Drosophila melanogaster: one gene and its partner. The protein of the gene in region 2 purifies or fractionates together with the protein of the main gene of each other region. This does not show direct contact. Each region holds a gene or a part of one and is shown on either strand. Other genes may lie near its edges. The genes, in order: CG1532 and alphaTry.

Region 1 (3,926 bases), on a different chromosome or scaffold from region 2:
TTAGAATGGCCCCGCCAGCTGCTTTAACCGCTTCTTGGAGAGGTGGCTGCTGGGCCGCCGGAATGGCAAAGGCGATTCGTCCATAGGCCTTAGCTCTATTAATTGGCTCTGAGATCTGGGTGATCTCCAGTGAAGCCTGCTGTTCACCGTAACTCAAACGCACGCTTGCTTCGTTCTCCTCGAGAACTTTCAGTTGCAGCAAATCGTGCCAGTATTTGCGCGAGTTTTGAAGATTGCTCACATTAAGCTCCACCGATTGGACAGGATCAGAGCTGGCAGAGGCCTGATCGATCACATAGAACTTGTAGCCATCGGGCGAGGTCAGCAGACTACCGGCTTTTCCAGACACCTGTGTCACAGGATACGAGTGCTCGGCGGCGCGGGAAAGGATATCCTTGGAGTGTATGGTCACGCCCCCAAAATCATTGCCTGAATCGAAAAGAATAAGTATCGATTAACAGGATTTATAAGTGTTAAAATTAACTTGGGAATTAATACAAAGGGAATCATTAAGTAGTATATTTCAATTACTGTACTGTACTTTTTCAAACATCTTCAAACATTCAACTCACATACTTTCGTTTTTAGTTCATTTTGTGATAGACAGAAATCTTCATCGCGGTTTTAACTAGAATGACTGATAGATTTCGACCTACTTATAGATAACTATTTCCGTATTCATAAAGAAAAAGATTAATAACCTACTATCTTTACGTACTTAAGACAAGTCACTTATCGAATAGCTATTATTAGTGAAACACTTAATTATGAAGTTGTCGAAGATAGAATAACTCATTTGTACTTTAAGATAAGCCATCCCAATTTTACTAGTGTTAGATTAAATATTTTGGATTATAACTCGGTAATCATTTATAGGGTTGTACATTTTTTCAAATTTCCAGAAATGTGTACATATGACTGCTCAAAGCTTAAATATGCGATTTAGCCTACCATCACTGAAGTTTCAAACTTTTTCAACTCTCAATTCTTATTAAAAACGCTTTAATGCCTGATAAAATAAATAGGTATTTTAGGATGATATTACTTAGCCGCTGTAAGGGTTAAAACGTTCCCGCTTGTTAGCTTGCACTCAGGACTTTTAATCCTCATGTGAGCCTAACATTTTTATCCGGTATGTGTCTTACCCATTTCGTAGCTGCTCACTCCATAGTTATACGTGAGTTCGATGACGAAATGCGAACTTTCGGGTCCATAACCCACCATTGTTTTGCTCCACCGATTGTCATAGGGCCTGTGAAGGATTAACACTACCAGTTAGTCCTGTCGCAACACTCCGAAATAGCACTCACCCGTTGCAAGCTGCGTCGCATCCCTCCTTGAACTCCTCATGCCGCAGCACCTGTTGCCGTGCGAACGAGCGGGATGGCGATAGAAGGGAGCAAAAACGATGAGAGAAAAATGAAATTTTAACACAGTCATTATATGACATTATCGGGCATCTGGGCTTTTTAATTAGCAGCCGCGCGTCGTTGACACGTTGTCCAGATAAAACTACAGCCAGACACAACAGCCTGCGATAAGGAAGTCTGCCGATTTCTGGCGATACGCCCGCCACACCCAGCTTACCGTCATTCCCAAGATTTGCCGAAAGAAGAAGGCGTTTTTCGCCCGATCTCCGATTTTGAACACATAGTGCAGGGCGCGTCCCGATATGGCCGACATCTTTGTGTTTATCAGCTGGCGTTTATTCAGCAAGTGCTTTCCGATCGAATTTCGGCCTTGTTTATGTACATTCCGTTTCAGTGTGGCCGTGCGCAGAACAGCAAATATTCCCAGCGACGGGAGCTTTTGGAAGTATCGATATTTTTTAGTTTAGACTAAATAATAATAAATTTAAATACACTGTAAGTTTTAAATTATAAAGTGCGCTTTTTGCTGATTGACATCTACGAGGAAAAAACTAATGACTATCGCACCTTCAAAAAACGAATATCGGAATTTACCTTTTGTGACACAAAATTTTACACTTGACAAATACACTTTAAAAAAAGAGTATATCCAAAATGTTGTCACAAAAGTCCTTCCATGAAAAGCAATTATCGTCAACAGTTTTATTAGGCACTTAAAATATGGAGTAAGCGAGCATATAAAACGTATAAAATACGAAGTAAGCGAACATATAAAACTATTTAATACATTGTAGTAGCAAGGATAAAATGTCGTGAAAGTAAGATATTTAAAAATTTTCGCTAATGCGTCCTAGCCACATTTGCATGATAGTTCATTGGATATACACTACGCGTCATCAGATTAGCGCCCCCTGCATGGCTCCGTTCATTTTTATTTTCTGGTTTTGCCATTGCACGAAAATTCATCAATGTTGTTGTTTTTTGTTCACTGACATTCCCTCTCTCCTTGAGGATAAAAAAAAGGTCCTAAGGTAAGGACAACAAAATTTGTTATGCTGTTGAATTGAAAAGTTTGCTTTAAGAGGAACCCTGTTATCCCTGCAGGAAATATACAATATCATAGCATTCTATTAATGCTCATAATCATAAAATTTCAGAAAACCCGCCAGATGTCGCAACCCTATAATAAACTTTATTCAAAAGAACGAAACTTATGGAAAAAAAAAATAATGGTGGCAATAACCTTGTCTTTACCGCGGCAGATCGCAGGTCCATACTTCGAATACCTCCCAATTCCCACGACTTCTCCGCCAAAATTCGAGAAAAAGTGTTGAAAACCAGATCAAATCTTTGATTCAAATGGTGATTAAGACAGCTAAACATAAAACACGAAAAACTGAAAATAAAACCACCTCTCAATAAGTTGCGAAAAAAAGCGGGTCTGAGTTTTGCTCGAGCTCATTTGACTTGGTCTAAGGAGTGGCGTCGTATTTTCGGACAAGAAGAAATTTAATCTGGAGAAACCAGACGGCTTTTTTCATTACTATTATGATTTGCGTACATTTTGGATCGCTGTCACAGTCGGGTTATAGGTAAATTGCAGTTTTAAACACCAAAAATGAACGCAAAAGATTATAATTCAAAACTGCATTTCCCTACTTTAGAAACGTTTTTGGAAATTTAGAATGACATTTTCAAATTGACAGTGTCTCAATCCACACTGCACGTTTGGCAAAAACATGGATTCCATACTACTACCACCATACTACTACTATATAATAGATAACGTGTGGGTATGGTTGGCTAGGAAGGTATACGAGGGTGGTAAACAATATGCCACTCAAAACGAATCGTTCACCGGAATAAAACTCGATTGGTCTGCGATTACTTTGGATTACCTACAAAAAAAATATATGATTCCCTTTCCAGACGAATGTGTGAAGTCCATAATTTCCTTTAAAAATATTCTAATTTAAATATTTAAGTGTTAATCATCCCAATTTCTTTCGAAATGAATCGAACCAACTTAAATTATCTTAGGGGGCGTTATCCTGATAACCCAATTTTAATTAACCCATTTATGGATTTTTTTTTTACTTAAATAAAAATCTATAAACAAGAAACTGCATCCTATATAAATTTTACATTTATAGAATTGTTCAACGTTTGAATGAAAAGCAATTTTCAAAACTCTAGCTTTAACAGTTTTCTAAATATCTCAAATCAAAGATTTTTGCTCAAGGGGCGCTAACCTGATGTATGTAACCGGACGTATATGGATAGGTTATAGTTGATCATAAGGCTTTCGAAGGGATAGGTTTGTAGTCATGGAAATGCCCTTCCAGTCGCGCCGAGTCTTGCGATTCTGCGTCCTGCTCTATTTTGTGCTGCCATTCCGGATCGAGTGCATCTTCCTGCTCTAGCTTGCACTGACTTGCCTCCAGCGGATCCGGTTCCGGATCGTAGGACTCTTGACCTTGTTGACACTCATTTGGCCGCTGGCTTGTCTGCATGGTCACCTCATTTCGGTGGCTTTCCCTGGAGAGATCTCTCTGC
Region 2 (3,344 bases):
TAAAAGCACAAATTAGCACAAACGTCACCAATGCTACGTCGAGTTGGAAATACCCGTTAAAATAAGGGGTGGCTATATGAACGACCCTCTGCCAATCAAAATTTCTACTTAAAAATGGCAAATTTCAACTTTATTATGGAATTGATAATGGAACTTTTTATAAACAGCATTATCGGTTAAAAAATATGGCAAATTGTTTATTCTTTGCAATTGTTGTTGCGTTTAATTCACAAATATAAGAAAAAGAACAGAAGACAATCCATTCCTACCATCTATTCACACCGTCCAGTATTTCACCAGTCACGGTTCACCAAAACGTTCAACTTCGAGTGTCCAAATCTGTGCAATCTTATCTATTCATTTTTTTCCGGCTAATTAATCTTGCCACAGCTGTCCAGACCATCACTCAACTTATCAATGGAAGATGAATTGGAACCCTAGCCACGCGATGCACTCGAAGTTGATTAGATTGGTCCTGGACAAATGTTTACCTTTAGCCACTCGAGCCCATTGAAATCGGTGAAAATCACAGAAGGTGCGTTGAATTATCTTACTTTATGTGAATACCCGTGAACCCTACAAAAGATAAGACCTGTGACGCGGGCAACCTCGAGAACTGTTTCCCTATTGTTAATACGAAAGGTGTAATAAGTGGTATGTGTAATACATTCAACTTCCACTACTTTATTCTTTAGGCTTAACCACTAACTTAAACTACATAGAAGTAAATACAAAAGCTTTCTGTATATTTTGTAAACCCTCTTATGTTAAAGTACCCAGACCAAATACAAATCATCTATGTTCTGAATGGCAAATATTTATTGAAGGCTTTTGACACATCCAACCTACTGGGTACCAGCTTAGATGCTGTTAGCAGTGCTCACCACCCAAGAGCGGAGGACAGCAACATCGGCATAGACACCGGGGTAGTTGGAGTAAGCGCATCCGTATCCCCAGGAGACAACACCGACGAGGACTCCGCCGGAGACCAGTGGGCCACCGGAGTCACCCTGGCAGGCATCCTTGCCGCTGGCAGCAGCGCAGATCATGGTGTTGCGGATCTGGCTACCGTATCCGTAGGTGGAGGAAGCACACTGGCTCTGGCTAACGATGTTCACGTTCACGTACTGCAGCTGGGAGGGGATGGAGCTGGATCCGGACGACTGGGTACCCCAACCGGAAACGGCGGCAGAGGCTCCGTTAGCTGGGTTGTAAGTGGCCAGGCTAATAGCCTTGATGCTTGAGCTGAAGCTCAGGGAAGAGCTCAGACGGATGACAGCGATGTCGTTGACCATGGTGTTAGCGTTGTATCCCTCGTGGTTCTTGAAAGAGGAAACCTTGGCGACGACGCCACCAGAGCTCCAGTAGGTGGATCCAGCACGGACCTGCAGGACTGAAGCGGACACGGACTGCAGACAGTGAGCGGCGGTCACAATGATGTTGGCAGAGTAGATGGATCCACCGCAGGAGTGGCTGCCACTGCGCTGCAGGGAGATCTGCCAGGGGAAGCTGCTGATGGTGGTAGCAGAGCCGCCGACAATGCGGCCATCCAACTGAGGCAGGAGTCCCTCAGGGACGGTGCCTCCCAGGGCGCAGACCACGGCGGACAAGAGGATCACGATCTTCAACATGATGGGCGTTGCTAACAAGTGCTGGCTTACATGCCGCCCGTCCAACCTTATATACAGCCCACGCTACAATTCTTATCTAGCCGCAATTTCGAGGGCTTTACACCTGCGACGCAATTGGGCCCAAATAGAGAAACAGATATCAATGCTGATTCAATTGCGATTTATTTCAAGTGTTTGTCTGGCTTTACACCTCCTCGGCGGTCCTCTCGATCCACTCGTGGAAGTGGGCAACGTCGGCGTAGACACCGGGATACCTCACATCACCGCATCCATAGCCCCAGGACACAACACCGACAAGGCGGTCTCCGGAGACAAGTGGGCCACCGGAGTCACCCTGGCAGGCATCCTTGTGTGGGGCGTAGGCGCAGAGCATGGTGTCCTTGATCTTCTTTCCGTATCCGAACTCATCCGAGCGGCAACGCGACACATCGATGATCTCCAGATCAACGGCCAGCAGATGATCGGGAATGGTGCTGCCACCGGACTCGGTGGTGCCCCAGCCGGAAACCACGGCGGTGGCGCCCTCACGAGGGTTGGAGTCGGCAATACGGATCTCGCGAATGCTGGAGCGGAAGCTCAGATCGGACTCGATGCGAATAATAGCAATGTCGTTGACCATGGTGCGGGAGTTGTAGCCCTCGTGGTTGCGGAAGGAGCGAACGGAGTGGACACTGCCGCCGGAGCGCCAGTAGGTGCTGCCCACACGAATCTTCAGGTCCTTGGCCTCAATCGACTGCAGGCAGTGAGCGGCGGTGATCACAATGTCGTGGGAGTAGATGGATCCACCGCAGAAGTGTGATCCATAGCGCTGCAAGGACACCTGGTAGGGATGGGCGTCGATGCTGGTCTCATAACCACCGACGATACGACCATCCAACTGGGGCAGCAGGCCATCGGGAATGGTGCCAGCCAAGGCGCAGGCCAAAACGGAAAGAAGTACCGCGAATTTCAACATTTTAATCGTTTGTATGCTGATTCGCGGATCAAAACCCCTTTTATACAGTCCCCGCGGCAAATATCTCCACTTGATTGACAGCTGCAACTTCAGCATAATTGTTGCGTCATTTTCACCATCGATATAGGCGGTGATATTTAGAAATAATCAGCTTATCACACGACGACCACTCCACATCGTTATCCACTTTAACCACGAGGAATCTCACTTGTCCATTGATTAAACGCCTCCCGAGATAGTGACCCCCGATATAAGCACACTTTTCGGTTCGAAGAGTATCCATTCAATCGCACCATGCTGAAGTTCCTGATCCTGTTGTCGGCTGTAGCCTGCGCCCTGGGAGGCACCATCCCCGAGGGTCTCCTGCCCCAGTTGGATGGCCGCATTGTCGGCGGTACTGCTACCACCATCAGCAGCTTCCCCTGGCAGATCTCCCTGCAGCGCAGTGGCAGCCACTCCTGCGGTGGATCCATCTACTCCGCCAGGGTGATCGTGACCGCCGCTCACTGCCTGCAGTCCGTGTCCGCCTCCTCCCTGCAGATCCGCGCCGGATCCAGCTACTGGAGCTCTGGTGGCGTCGTCGCCAAGGTTTCCTCTTTCAAGAACCACGAGGGTTACAACGCCAACACCATGGTCAACGACATCGCTGTGCTCCATCTGAGCTCCTCTCTGAGCTTCAGCTCCACCATCAAGGCCATCGGTCTGGCTAGCTCCAACCCCGCCAACGGTGCTGCTGCCTCCGTCTCCGGATGGGGTAC

Evidence for each region.
Region 1: the proteins of alphaTry (region 2) and CG1532 purify together in Drosophila melanogaster (affinity purification with mass spectrometry, with the first as the bait; one large-scale study listed by BioGRID). This does not show direct contact.

What each region holds. Positions count from the first base shown.
Region 1 is NC_004354.4:21,026,593-21,030,518, forward strand, and holds the start of CG1532 (uncharacterized protein), read right to left. Parts: upstream 1,770-3,926; 5' UTR 1,684-1,769; coding exon 1,588-1,683; intron 1,361-1,587; coding exon 1,311-1,360; intron 1,253-1,310; coding exon 1,146-1,252; intron 430-1,145; coding exon 1-429. Other genes in the region: CG1529 (uncharacterized protein), read right to left, coding at 3,665-3,926.
Region 2 is NT_033778.4:11,343,462-11,346,805, forward strand, and holds alphaTry (alphaTrypsin), read right to left. Parts: upstream 1,659-3,344; 5' UTR 1,632-1,658; coding exon 861-1,631; 3' UTR 799-860; downstream 1-798. Other genes in the region: epsilonTry (epsilonTrypsin), read right to left, coding at 1,816-2,586; betaTry (betaTrypsin), read left to right, coding at 2,881-3,344.